Stegostoma tigrinum: one gene and its partner. The protein of the gene in region 2 binds, or shares a complex with, the protein of the main gene of each other region. Links are inferred from orthologs where the notes say so. Each region holds a gene or a part of one and is shown on either strand. Other genes may lie near its edges.

Evidence for each region. Proteins that work in one complex are often made in the same cells at the same time.
Region 1: the proteins of grm5b (region 2) and homer protein homolog 1-like are in contact, whole or in part, in a crystal structure (PDB 1DDV), measured with the Rattus norvegicus proteins. The link is inferred for Stegostoma tigrinum from reciprocal best matches to the Homo sapiens genes GRM5 and HOMER1. Residues at the interface, in XP_006229721.1 of Rattus norvegicus: Thr1155, Pro1156, Pro1157, Phe1160; in NP_113895.1 of Rattus norvegicus: His12, Phe14, Trp24, Thr70, Ser71, Gln72, Lys73, Phe74, Gly89, Phe90.

What each region holds. Positions count from the first base shown.
Region 1 is NC_081356.1:108,786,393-108,793,769, reverse strand, and holds the start of homer protein homolog 1-like, read left to right. Parts: upstream 1-4,367; 5' UTR 4,368-4,886; coding exon 4,887-4,891; intron 4,892-7,377. UniProt on the Homo sapiens protein: Postsynaptic density scaffolding protein. Binds and cross-links cytoplasmic regions of GRM1, GRM5, ITPR1, DNM3, RYR1, RYR2, SHANK1 and SHANK3.
Region 2 is NC_081359.1:51,153,263-51,161,264, reverse strand, and holds the start of grm5b (metabotropic glutamate receptor 5b), read right to left. Parts: upstream 3,006-8,002; 5' UTR 2,934-3,005; intron 1-2,933. UniProt on the Homo sapiens protein: G-protein coupled receptor for glutamate. Ligand binding causes a conformation change that triggers signaling via guanine nucleotide-binding proteins (G proteins) and modulates the activity of down-stream effectors.

The DNA.
Region 1 (7,377 bases), on a different chromosome or scaffold from region 2:
AGGCTTGATTGTTCCTTCTCTTTGTTTTCTGTCTGCCAACTAATTCTCTATCCGTGTCAGTGCACTATTTCTAGTCCTTTAATTTTACATAATAATCTCTTACATGGGTCCTTATCAAAAACCTTCTAAAAATCCAAGTTAACTACATAGGCTGGCTCTCCTTGTCACACGACTGTTTATATCCTCCAAAAATTCCATTAGGTTTGTCAAGCAGATTTCTGTTTTAAAAAATCTATGCTGTTTTCTAAGTGTTCTGTTATTGGATCTTTTATAATGGATTCTGATATTTTTCATACTTCCAATATCAGGCTAACCATTCTAAAATTCCGTTTTCTATCTACCTCCTTTTTAAATAGTGGGATTACCCTCCAAACTATAGAACTGTTTCAGAGTTGATAGATTCTTGAAAGATGACATCCATTGTTTCGAGGGTCATTTCTTTTAGGACTCTGGGAAGTAGACTGTCGGGTCCTGGGAATTTGTTGGCCTTCAATCCCATCAATTTCCTCACCCTCCACTTCCCTACTAATACTGATTTCCTTCCATTCATCTCTCTCACTAACCCCATACACCCAGTATTTTCGGGATGTTATTTGTGTCTTCTTTTGTGAAGAATGCTAAGACTAAGTCAGGGTTAAATGCAATTGATTTACAGATCTAATACAATTCAATTAATAGTTGAACATTTTCCCAGATGCTGAATGACTGTGATAATTACTTGATTTTTATTTATTTCATCATTGGGCAAGGTTTGTCAAACTCTTCCATAGAAACCGATCACAGGTGGAATTAGCCTTCAAATTTATTACATTTCAAAATAATGGGCTGAATTTTACAGCTCAGGAGATGTGATAGCAGGGGAGGTAAGCATTATATTGAATGACATGCTATTGGCACTGTGCCCATCATTTACCCACTCCCACCTTGGAGTGAGAAAGGCATCAGCAGTATGCCAATTGAGTTCCCAAGTGCCCATCCCCCCCCTCCAAAAAATCCCCCGAATCTTTTTCCTCACGATCCGCTGCTGTTCTGTCCACCATGATCCCTCAAACCATCATGAGGATCTGATAACCTGGCCCCAGTGACACCCTGGATTCACTTTTTCAGGACTGAAACTATAGCAGACCTATGAGCCCAGTCTGGAATCCAGAAATGTCGGCTTTCAATTATACAACACAGGCCAGAACTACAATAACTAATAAGACACTCTGAAGGAAAATGAAAACCTCTAACTTTCTGACCTTTAGAAAAAGAAAATCTGATGTAAGTAATTTGCAATACAAGAACCTTGTGTGCTTTGGGTTGAAAATGTTAATGAAAGTAACACATTTAAAGTGGAGACATATACGTTTGTCACTAAAGCTGACAAACCTGGCAGAAAAATGAGACGTATACTTTTCAACAGATCTTAGAAATTCCATACTAAAAATACATTGCATCTCCACACCTTCTGGAAGGAAGACTTTGAAAGTTACAAATTTCTTGCAGAATCAAGACAAATTTTCAAGCTGTTATCAAGTATCAATCATATTCCGGAGTAGCTGACTGGTATTCATTTTAGTTGAAGTCAATGGTAACCAAAACCAGAAAACTATCCTGAGGAAGGGTTACCGGACCCAAAACGTTAACTCTGATTTTTCCTCCACAGATGCTGCCAGACCAGCTGAGCTTTTTCAGCAACATTGTTTTTCTTCCAGAAAATTGTTAGAACTGATGTCTGACCTCAAAATATAATTGCAATTTGAAAATCCTACTTCATGATATTTAGGGAATCTAATTCCTTAATTTACAGTGATTTAAATTGGTTTTCAGGAAGTTTCTGTCATAGGTAGAATTATAATGAAAGCTTATTACATTCCAAAATGAAGTACTAAAGTTTTCAGCTGTAGGATGAGAGGTGAGGTCTAAAATTGAGCAAGACTGTTGTCCAATTGCCTCCTATTCTACTGGGTGAGGGATGCATTGGCCAGTCTGCTGCACTGGGTCATTTGAGGCCCTTAAATGATCTCCCAAAGTGTTCCCTTTGTGTTTGTCTTCTCCATTCCCTGCTGCCTCTCTACCATGATCCCTCATTGGGGCTTGGTAACCTGGACTCAGCAGGATTCCAGATTTACCTTGTGCTAGACTCTTGGCTTCTCAATTCAGGGCATTCTCTGGAGTCCTTCCAAGGCCATTTCCAAGTGGCACATCTGACCCCAAGATCATGAGAAATAGGTGCAGGGGTAGGTCATCCAGCTCATTGAACTAATTCCAGAAGGCAATGAGATATTGGCTGATCCAACTAACTCCACTTTTTTGTCTGACTCCCTTAACAAATGACCCCCATGTAGGTCAATAATCTATCCAGCTCATCCTGGAATATATTCAAAGATATGGCCCCCACTGTTTTTGTGATTTTGTGGGAGGGGTTCGTGATCACAGTTATCTAACACAGGCAGTGGATTTGTAATGATTTTCTGATAATTTGTTGAGAAGCAGCAGTTTAGGTATGGTACATTAGTTGATTAGGCTTTTCTGTAAAATGGTGGAGCAGAAGCAGCACACTTCCATGTTCCAGATATCTTGCAGTCTTTTGTGATAGTCCTTCATGGTCTCTGGTAGCAACATCCTTTTGTCTTCCCTTGGGCTGATGTAGAGGAACATCTTCCCAGAAGGAGATGGTGGTTCATCCCCTTGATTCCTCTCATACTCCTCTTTTCCCATTTAGCTCATTATTTTGGCAGATGGCCACCTATGCTTTATCAACCAATTGTCTGAACTTTTTTGTCCAATGACCATTGGCAGCTACTCATGATGCCAGGATGACCAATTCCCCTTTCCTGCCTCCATTTTAAGTTTAGTTTTAATTCCTTCTAAGAACAAAAACTCCTTTTTTTGAAACATTGCATTAATAATAGGGTAATGTGGCATATGATCATTTTTTGACTTGAGTCATGAACTCAGCATTGGATTTAATCTGTTCTCTGTATTCATATACTGGAGGTCAGTTTATATTTGTAGAATGCTGGTTACTGCCGTAATACTCAGGCTACATAGGAAGTAATAAATATGAAAGACTCAAAAGAATTTTAGTTTTTAAGGGGGCTCCAAATTTCAACAGCTCTCAATGGAAGACACTTTCAAAGACTAATAACCCTTTGAGTGACTATGTCCCTTCTCATCACTAATTTAAATATGAGGTCTGAAGCTAATGAGGTCTGGTGAACCCAAACTGAGCATCGGTGAGTACATCATTGATGACCAAGTGCTGTTTAAAAGCAATGTTCTGGCACCGGGCATCTTCCAAAGACTTTACTGATAAGCTGCCTAAAGGGTGATGCCTTGTCGGTTTACCTTTTCAACTGGCTGCACGCCAAGTTTTTTTAAATAATATTCTGTATTCAGTTATTTGGAAGTCACAAATTGTCGGGCATGTTCTCACCTGGAAAAGGTGGTATTAATAAATCAGATGTCAATCAGAGAAGAATGAGCTAGGTGGTGTGATTAAATGGATAGGTATAATGTTTATTCATGACAAAAAACAGAAATTGCTGGAAAAACTCAGAAGGTCTGGCGGCATTTGTGAAGAGACATCAGAATTAACGTTTCGGGTCCGGTGACACTTCCTCGGAACCGGACCTGAAACGTTAACTCTGATTTTTTTTCTTAGACGCTGCCAGACCCGCCGACCTTTTCCAGCAGCATCTGTTTTTGTTCCTGATTTACAGCATCCGCAGTTCTTTCGGGTTTTATACTGTTTATTTGCCTGGTCTATATATATATGGAGAAAAGAGCGAAGAGAAGACGCTCAGAATGAAAGAACATTAAACCACAATATATGACCAGAGCTTTTTTTATTAGTTTAGTAACTTTTACGACAATTGCAGACGAACAGGGCTTTAAGATTTTAACTTGTGTAACTGGAGAGACGATACGTTCCGACTGTTTTAGGGAATTAAAGATGTTCATGCCATGTGGGGAAAAAGCATAATCCAACCATCACCTCGCATTCCAGGTTCATAAATTGCAAAAAGTTCGTGAACAGATGCGAGATAAAACACCACTTTGGCTTGCATTTGAAGCTCCGTTATCCTTGGCAACATCCTAAACTTCCTGTTGTGCGGTCTGAACCACTGAGGATGCAGATGGTGGGTGGCTCTCCAACCAAACTAGGGCATGTGAAATGACAGGATGCTGTGTGTATAATTAGCAGAAAGTGTGGGGAGCTGGGCTGACGTCATCGGGTAATTGCTGTGCTCTGACGTCAGGGCCGAGTCGGAACGAGGCGGGCGAGTCAGAGTGGGTGACTGCGCTACGCCGTGACGCGCTGACGTTCATTTAAAGGTCGGGCGCACGCGAAGGAGGGTGGGTGGGGACGGAGCGTGGGGTGTGCGGGGGTTTGGCTATGGCCGGGCAGAAGTGGTGGAGTCTGCGGGAGTGAGTGGAGGAGCGCTGCCGCTGACAAAGGGAATGGAAGGTGGCGGTTGGAGCGCCGCGTAATTGGAATCTTGACCCGGCAGCTGCAGCCGGCTCGCGCCGCCTCGATTTTGCAGCCATTTGGGGCCGCGGCTGGCGACTCTCTTCACCACCCCCCCCCCCCACCGTCTCCCCCTGCTTCACCTCCAAGGCATCTGGACCGAAAAGGCGGGTAGAGGTGGGGAGGAAGAGTCCCTTGGAGCACTCTCAGGGTTTACCCTCGAGTTTCCGCTGTCGCTGCACTCATCTCCCCGCCTCTGTGCCCCTGTGTGCTCGGGGGTGAAATGATCTGCTCCAGCGTCTCTCTGAGCCGGGCTGAGAGAGCCTGAGTCTCGGTACCATCTCCCATCATTAACGCCGTAAAAAGCGAGAAGCGTCCCCCCGCAGGCGGAGAATCGGCTTGTCTTCAGCAGGAGGAGAGAGGGGTAAAAATGGGGTGAGACATTCCGTTTCTTACTGCTGTTTGGTATATTTAAAGGGGGGGGGGCGGAATAAAATGGACACTTTTGCCCCCGTGGTGGGTTGAGTCAGACTGGGATCTCGCCGCTGCAGCTGCTTTCAAGTTAATGTCAGGTCGCTGACGCTGGTGCTTTGGGCGCTTGACATTAGTGAGTGTTTACGGACGAGGATCAGTTACAGCACCCTCTCGAACTGATAGTTACGTCCCCATGGTTTATGTTAGTACAGTTCTAGCCATGTGTGCTCTCGGAGCCTTGTTAAAAAGTCGGGAGCTACCGAGGTGTGTTTTACTCGCGTCCATCCTGCGAAGTCTCAATGCACATTTTGGAGTGTAACGTTGCTGTAACTTGAAGTTTGAACATGGGCTTGGGTTTGACTTGAGAAACTAGAAAAGCACCATACCACTAATTTGATAGCGCTTTAGTGTCTCGAATTGGGACTATCCAGCAATCTCTGCTTGATGTGGTGGCACGGAGCTCTTTAAAACTTGTGTTCGAAATGTTCGCCGCTCTGGATCAAGACTAGTTTCAGCATAATAGGAGTGCTCAGTTAATGTGAAATAACGGTTATATAATTAATGTATGGTAAGGGATTCAAGTTAGATCATTGTTTAAACAAAACCGAAATATCAAAATATTTTGGGTAAGTAAATTCTCTAAATCCTCTTAATTTGAGGATTTTCTGGAACTCTTAGTCCTCTAAAAGATAAAAATCAATCAGACTTATCTTCATTATGCAGCAACTTTTTTTAGCAGAATTATGGATGGGAACTATTCGCTCTTTACTTTGATGTACTTTCCTTCTTTCATAAGGAAACATCCCGCTTGAACTTTTGACTTCCAATTTTTTGTCATGGCAGAAATGCTGTTTGGATTTAGTGTAACTCACTAAATTAGTAAATCTTAAAAGAAGTCACCAAGCATCTGTTTACTACCTTCAGATTAGTTGAATGGTTTCTTGTTTTTAAAAAGTAAAGCTTGCTTGCCTGGTTAAAACTCTAATTCTATCTACATCCATTGTATGTTGGTAGCTCTGGAATGGGTTTTATGGCTAAATTCTAAAACGTGAAAGCTACAATAGAGGAAACCTTCAAGACAAGCTGCATGAATTGTGAAATCAACTGTCAATTTGTATTGTGGATGAAGTATTCATGTGGTCTTTCAGTGGTGTCACTTGTCCAGTTAATACTGCTATTTATCCTAACGAAACACGCTGGTTTTGTAACACAAGTTATTTACGTTAACAATACATGGTGACAAGTGTTAAATTGTTTTTGCTTAACCCCTATGCCAGTGATTAGTGTACTTACTGTAGTAAATGTGAATTAAATTGTGATTTATGAAATATTGTCTTTTGCTGTTAAGTGACCTGTCCAAACTATTTGTCCTATCTTTTTATACTAACTTGTTTTAAAAGTTCTGATGACTTTTTTTATTTTCAAGAGAATTGTTGCTCCACATTAACCCTTATCAGGAAACTGAGTTCCTCATCAAAATGATCAATTGTTCAAAATTGGTTTGAAGTTTATGCAGAACTTTTTGTACATCAATTTATTTTTCTTTATTTTATAGGAATGGAAACCTTTCTCATGTTTTCAGTGGAGCTGCAGTAATATAACTTATACAGTGAAGGAATGCATTTTGTAGTATAAATTGTCTACTTTTATCTCTACTTTGATTTTGAATTCCTCTTACGCATGTTATGCTAAGACTTGTCCCTACAGACTAGATGGGTTTTCTCTTCCCAAATCTTAACCAGCACATTTTGTGCACTTACGAACTTATTGTACATAATGGCTTTACTCTAGAGATGCAACAAGGTGATAGAAGAAAAGAGGCAGTCATTCCATGTTTATAGTCACTTCAGTTTAATAGTCACTTCTTTGCGATAAGTGCTGTTCTACTGTTTTCAAGCAGGGAAACTAGTTAGTTGCTCTTCTCTCCATTGTCTACAGTGCACTCCACAGCTGTATCAGATCTACTGATCATACAAGTTGATGTGCATTCTGTTTGTGATCTGTTGTCCTCTTGGACACTGGTATCTATCAAGGTGTCACTTTGTCAAAATTCATCTCATCTGCTGAGGAAATTCATTGAACAGCTGGACTGTCCTTGAAGTATGTGGAAAAAATTGCAAATGAGACTGAAATGTAAACAAATTTTGGAAATATATGGCAGGTCTTTCAGCTTACTAGGAAGTTAGATGCATCAGATCTTTACTACATGAGGTAAGATATGTATTTTGATTAGATTGCCTACAGTGTGGAAACAGGCCCTTTGGCCCAACAAGTCCACACCGCCGCTTGAAGCATCCCACCCCAACCTGTCCCCTATAACCCCCACACCCCTGAAGACTATGGGCAATTTAGCATGGCCAATCCACCTAGCACGTCTTTGGGCTGTGGGAGGAAACCCACGCAGACACGGAGAATGTGCAAACTCCACACACGGTCGCCCGAGGCTG
Region 2 (8,002 bases):
CAGCATCTGCAGTTCCCATTATCTCCTTAACTCCCCATCCCATTCTTTCGACAACATGTCCGTCATGGGCCTCCTGCAGTGCCACAAGGATGCCACCTGAAGGTTGCAGGAACAGCAACTCATATTCCGCTTGGGAACCCTGCAGCCCAATGGTATCAATGTGGACTTCACCAGCCTCAAAATCTCTCCTTCCCCCACCGCATCCCAAAACCAGCCCAGTTTGTCCCCTTCCCCCACTGCATCACACAACCAGCCCAGCTCATCCCCTTCCCCCACTGCATCCCAAAACCAGTCCATCCTGTCTCTGCCTCCCTAACCTGTTCTTCCTCTCACCTATCCCTTCCTCCCACCTCAAACTGCACCTCCATTTCCTACCTACTAACCTCATCCCACCTCTTTGACCTGTCCGTCTTCCCTGGACTGACCTATCCCCTCCCCACCTATACTCTCCTCTCCACCTATATTCTTTTCTCTCTATCTTTGGTCCGCCTCCCCCTCTCTTCCTATTTATTCCAGAACCCTCTCCCTATCCCCCTCTCTGATGAAGGGTCTAGGCGCGAAACGTCAGCTTTTGTGCTCCTGAGATGCTGCTTGGCCTGCTGTGTTCATCCAGTTTTACACTTTATTACATGAGGAAAGATTGATCACTATTGGATTTGACAATCACTTTGTCTACTGCTGGGAGTCTGCTTCTGCTGAACTCAGTGTGCGGTGATGAGGGGGATGTAAGGAGTTAGTCCCTGGCAGGAAAGTAGGTCATAAAAATGTCTGCCAATTAGGAATTTAATTGTTCTATAGTCTGACGGTCCTTGTCAATCATAATGTCAGTCTGACACTCAGCCCACCCAAGAAATTTCCTTGATGACAGGGAATCGCATATTGAGGAGCCATCCCTACACAGCTCCTCCAATTTTCTTGGCCCCCTGCCACTATCCCTCATCTCAATGGGGCTGTGAAAATCAGCCCAAGTTTTCACATCTGTGACCTTTCATCAAAATCAATCAGCGCAATTAAAGTTTAAAGCAAAGTTTAAATATTTTTGTTATTGGATTACTGCAATCTCTCTTGAAATTTGTTTCAGTTGTAGTTTCCAAACTATAGCACTTCACCAATAATTGGAACAGGCTCCAGCTCTCTTAGTTAGTTCTAAACTACTCTTGCTATACTTGGAGAAAAAGTCATGGGTGGAGTCATTCAAACAGCCATCCATTCTCATTTTAATATATGACCGAGAAGTCTCCAGTTCTTGATGAAGGTCATTGGTAGCAACACAGGGCACGCAAAGAACCCACTCCAGAATTTAACCACAAAATTGTCAGTGTGCTGATATGATAAAAACAATAAGTACAGGTTCTCTAATTGATTTTAATGGGTGGAGGTGGGAATGCATTTAAAACATAGATTAAAAGCGATGGTGGGAGGAATTACATAAAGTAATACTATTAGATCAAAAAAGTGAAGAGGCATCAATTGAAAATAATTAGGCCTGTCAAGTGAGTATTATATCATTTCATTTGGAATTATAAATATTTTTATTCATACCATGCATATACTTTTACTAGCAATGGATGTCACGCTCCTGCTGTAACAAATTTTCCTCATATTATGGTGAAACCTTCAACCCTTGACTTCCAGAAGATTTCATTCCCCCAGCAGAACATTAACTTGAGCATATGCATAAAGCTTTTGGTTTCCAAACTTCTTCTCCTTATTTACTCCTGTTCCCTCCCTTAAGACACTACATAACGTCATAGAACTCTACAGTGTGGGGACAGGCCTGTCAGCCCAACAAGTCCACACTGACCATCAGAGCAACCCGCCCCAGATCCATCCCCCTATAATCTACACATCCCTGAACACTACGGGCAATTTAGCATGCCCAACCCTAGCCTGCACATCTTTGGACTGTGGGAGGAAGCCACAGAACCCAGAGGAAACCCATGCAGACACAGGGACAATGTGCAAAATCCACACAGACAGTTACCCAAGGGTGGAATCGAACCCAGGTCCCTGACACTGTGAGGCATCAGTGCTAACCACTGAGCCACTGTGCCACAAGCAATTGTCAACACTACACCCATACTTCTGTTGCTCTATTTCAACGAGGAGTGCATTTAGTAATTAATGATAGAAGTAGACAATGTAGTCGTTTCAACAGAATATGATGCAAAGTTATGCACAGTATCCACACGGAGTTAATTTCTTAACCTAGATCATAAAACAGGGGTGAAGACATGATCATATGGTCTAATGTATAAGATGTCTGACTTCAGCATTAAAGGTTGCAGGTTTGAGTCCAACCTGTCTCTGCCTTCCTAACCTGTACTTCCTCTCACCCATCCCTTCCTCCCACCCCAAGCCGCACCCCCATCTACCTACTAACTTCATCCCACCTCCTTGACCTGTCCGTCTTCCCTGGACTGACCTATCCCCTCCCTACCTCCCCACCTATACTCTCTCCACCTATCTTCTTTTCTCTCCATTTTCGGTCCGCCTCCCCCTCTCTCCCTATTTATTCCAGAACCCTCACCCCATCCCCCTCTCTGATGAAGGGTCTAGGCCTGAAACGTCAGCTTTTGTGCTCCTGAGATGCTGCTTGGCCTGCTGTGTTCATCCAGCCTCACATTTTATTATCTTGAGTCCTGTTGCAATCATTTGGGGGCCCTCCTGTGGGCAGTGATCAAGGCCTGGGTTCAAGTCCCATCGCTCAAAAGATGTGCAACTTTATCTCTGATCAGGTTGATCAGAAAAACAGGCTAATATAAAAAAGACATAAATTAAAACAAACGAATATCTTTTTTTAAAATGTCAATCCCTTAATATCTTCATGTTTTTTGAGTGGGTGGAGAACCGTACTTCAAAAAAACAAACATATAGAATTGGACCCCATATATAAATCCATACAGATCAAAACTGGAAATAATAGTACTCACCATAATGGATGTGACAGTATAAATTTCAAGTGGAGTAGAATAACATCGCTTCATCGGAGGCTCCATTGATGATGTCACTTAGCATGGTGACAAAGCATCTGAACAAAAACAAGACAGCTCAATGAGCAAGTCAACAACCTCATCCACAACCCGAACTACAGATTTTTTGCCAATATTTTAAATAACTACGGGCATAACATGCCAAAAATTGCCAGACAATGGGAAACCTTTGCCAACTGACTGAGCGCTACCTGCGAACAACTTCACTACCTCCATGAATGCCTCAGGAACCAGGTACTGCATGGCAGTGTGAAGTACAAACCTTCACTCAACATCCCAGAGGCACACAAAATAGCTAAACAGAATGGGTGCAGAATGCTATGAGGAATGATTAATGATGCCCATAACTGGCTCCACAGGTACAAACAAGAAACTGCATGCCAAAAATCACAGTATCGAAACTCAACAGACCAGCAGGCCATTACCAATCGACACAAAACCAAAACTAAGAAGAGACATGAACTGCAGGAGAAATTCACCAAACTGATACACCACAAAGACAAGGACAACAAGAAGGCAGACACATGGATGAGAAACCTATCTAATAAGCAACCCACAGAAACTGAGAAAGATGTCCTATAATGTGGACTGAACTATAGCCACAAAGATGTGAACAGAACAGACTTCATGGCCGCTCTGGAGAATGCATTAAAAGACAACAAACTCACGGATGAAACACAACAAGCCATCCAACAAACTATAATCCCCACACTACACAGAAGGAACAAAGGGGGCAACCTGAACACAGCAGAGAGAAAAGCTCTAGACAAACTCAGGAAAGACAAGAACATCATAATCCTACCAGCAGACAAAGGGTGCATGACCATCATTATGAACAAACTAGACTACGTTAAGTAAGCATAGACATTGCTTGCAGATACAACCACTTACCAATAGATGGTGATAGACCCAACACTGCAGCGAGGGAATAGGATCACCGAGACACTGAAGTGACTAATAAATGCGGGGCAGATAACCAAGATAGACTTCAAGAGAATGAAACCAAAAGCACAAACACCATTCACCTCCACCCCACTTCTATGGACTGCCTAAAGTACATAAACCATACATCCCTCTCGACCCATTGTATCCCTACCAGTCACACCTTCACACAAACTGGCAAGGATCTACGACAGAGATTGAAACACCTAGTAGACAAATCACCTCAATTCTATCTACTCGACCCAAGATTTCCTCAACACCCTAAAGAACATAAAAATCAGCGACGACAAGATTATGGTATCCTTTGACATCACAGCTTTATTCACATCAAAAGATATCCCACTAGCCAAAGAAACAATGGTCATATTACTAGAGGAAACAGCAACTCAGACTAGCAATACCATCAGCAAGGACAGCATACTTAAATTACTAGACCTCTGCCTCACTACACACTTTGTCTTTAATGGTCAAATATACAAACAGATCAACGGTACACCAATGGGGTCACCAATCTCAGGGCTCATCGCAGAAGCAGTCATGCAATGATTAGAACGCACCATCCTCCCCCACACTCAACCTAAACTGTGGATCTGGAACGGAGATGACACATTTTTCATTATTAAAGGCAACAAATTAAAAGAGACCCACTACCTCACCAACAGTGTATTCACAGGGATTAAATTCACATTTACCAGGGAGGCAATGGCCTGGTGGTATTATCACTGGACTGTTAATCCAGAGACCCAGATAACATTCTGGGGACCTGGATTCAAATCCCGCTGTGGTAGATAGTAGAAGCTGAATTCAATAAAACATTTGGAATTAAGAATCTAATGATCCATTGTCGCCTGTCGGAAAAACCCATCTGGTTCACTAATGTCCTTTAGGGAAGGAAACTGCCATTCTTATCTGGTCTGGTCTACGTGTGATTCCAGACCCACAGCAATATGGTTGACTCTTAACTGCCCTAGCCAGCAATGGCCTCATCCCACGAATGAACTAAAAAAAAGGGAAGAAGAGCCCAACAATCAACTGCCGTTCCTGGAATGACTGACAAACAGGGGAGTTCCAAACTTCAGTACACAGAAAAGCAACCCCTACAGATCAAATCTCCAACTTCCACAGCAACAACCCCAACATCCACAGACAAAGCTGCATTAGGACGCTATTTAAACTGGCTAGGACACACTGCAACACTCCATAATTATGCCAGGAAGAAGAAAAACACTTATACAAGATCCTCGTCTCAAATGGATATCCCCATAACTTCATCAACAGGTGCCTATATAACAGACAACAACAGGAAGACACAGTACAACCTAACACATTTACTACACTTCTCTACATCAGGAACATATCAGAACTGACAACAAGACTGCTCAGACCATTAGGAAACGTGGTGGCCCACAAACCCACAGCCACTCTACGACAAACACTTACGAGGATTAAAGACCCCATTCCCACAACGTGCAGAACAAATGTAGTTTACAAAATACAATGCAATGACTGCCACAAACATTATACCAGAAAGACGGGAAGGAAACTAGCCATCAGAACATACAAACATCAGCTAGCAGAAAAATGGCACGATGAACTCTCCGTAATATCTGTACACTCAATGAAGGCCATCAGTTTAACTGGGACAAAGTAAACATAGTAGCCCAAGTCAAACGTAGACACACATGGGAATTCCTGGAGGCATGGTTCTCAACCCATACTTCAATCAACAAACATATAGAGTTGCACCCCATATATAAATATATACAGATCAAAACTGGAAATGACAGTACTCACCACAACGGACCGGACAGTATAAATTCCAAGGCGAGTATAATAACATTGCTTCATCGGAGACTCCACTGATGATTTCATCTAGCATGGTGATGAAAGGTCTGATCAAAAACAAGCCAGCTCGGCAAGCAAGTCAACAACCTTATCCACAACCCAACCTACAGCTTTTTGCCAATACTTTAAACTTTTGCTTCATTATTTGTTCATCTCCTGAATGCTTCAAATTTTTCAAACTAGTCTTCTCCAGTTACCTTTACTGGAATTCTTTGCCTTATCTTTCAAACTATTTTACTTTCTCCCAGTTTCAAATGAGAAATTATTATAGTCAAAATTATACTGACATAGAACGGAGTAGAGCACGAGTAGTATCAAATATCCAGTTGCAAACTCGCAATTACAGCAAAGAGCATAAGAATCAAATTTAATCTAAAAAGAACAGATATTACAGTTTTAGAATTAACACACTAGGAAGCATTGCATAGGTAACATTATAAACCAAAATAAAAGGAAAATAAGCCATGTCTAAAATGGTTAACAATTTATTCCAATATTGCTTATCAATCATGTTTGATTTATTTCAGGTATTTCATTGTTTCGTAGCTTGTGTCCTTTTACTTAACAACTCTAACTGACACTTAATAAATAACTAATTCCAACATAGTGAATTTTAGCAGAGAAAAATTTCAATGACATAATTCACATGGCATATTGATGACACTGTTTCCAATCGTGAAACAATTGATGTGCCATGACGGTGAAATTATAACCTGTACACACAAAATCTAAGAATTTTCATTGTTAATTCTATAAGAGAGAGTGCAAAATCTCCTCAGTATTAGCCAGTGTTCTCACAACTCTATAAATCAGTGTTAAGTCTACATCAATTTCAGGATAAGCTGGTTTCTTACCATAACTGAACTTCAACCTGCTGCATTTTAATTTCCTTAAGCTGTCAGTCAGTAATACTAGACCCAATAATACTCCTGATATCAATTTCTTTTGCTTTAATGGAATATAACATTCCATTGTGAAACCTCTGTATTCTCTTAGTTGTCATTCGTGTAGATTTATTATGTTTAACCAGGTTCCAAACATTGTAGCTCTTTCATGTAATAGAGTCATCTCTGCTAAGTGCTCTTTAGGAAAATGTGATTTAATGCAGTTCGGTTTTAAGTGCTAGGTAGACTATTTCTGGTAAATTCAAAATGCTGTGATGGAAATTCACAATTCCTGTTTAACACAAGATAACATTACACTTTTAAGAATAAAATGGTAAAGATTTTGCAAATCTATCCACATATTCTGTGAGCAAAGAAAAATCACTGCAGAAAAGCAAAAGGTGTTTGCCTTTTTAAAAGGCATCCATCCAGTACAGTTATCATTACTGCCACATTTGATATGTTTAAATGTTGCAGACATTTTTTAAATATGAAATTATGAGGCCGCGTTTATTCCGTGAAAAATCTGTCAAGAACTATAAAAAGTCATCGATTGAGCAACAAAGAATGAATTGCAATTCTAGCAAGATGGCAAATCAGTAGCCAACTGTCTACTGGAATCACTAATAGGAGACTCTCCCACTAAAATGAAAAACAAAGGAAGGTTTCAGATCTCATAATATTGTGAAAGCTATTTTATCATCTCAACGTTTCCTGTTGGTGTGTAACAAATAATAGTTATAACTCAGCATGAGTATCACCATAGATCTAATAGATGCTACTCATTACATGTAATTTCAGCAGCACTATTTTCTATCCAACATGGATATAAAAGGTTGTGATATTAATTTAAATTCTAACTGTCATCTCAAGCACACCTCAAGCTGCAGGGAGGCAGTGCAGTCCTCATATACATTCCCATGACAACCACACATTAATACTCTGCTGCCCAAATCATAGTTTCCCCTAAATCCATTCAGTCTGAATCTATGTTAAAGCTGTTTGCTGGATGGGTGACTTCATAGCTTGATATCTATTTGATTTTTTTTTCCAGATGTTGCATTTCTAATCAGGATAGAAGATACTTATATAATCAAATCATTTTAACTATTGCAATTACACATGTTCAGTATGGATAGGTGGTGTATTTAACTTATATAAACATTGTTTAATTGGCTTTTACATTATATAAAGAAAAAGCTGTCTGGCAATCATTGAAAGATATAAAGGATTGGTTCATTCAGTTGTCAAGATGGCTAGTGTGTATAATTCAGAATAACATCAATATCTCATGTTTGTCATTCCTGCTAGGACAGACTTGTGACATGGCACAGGTCT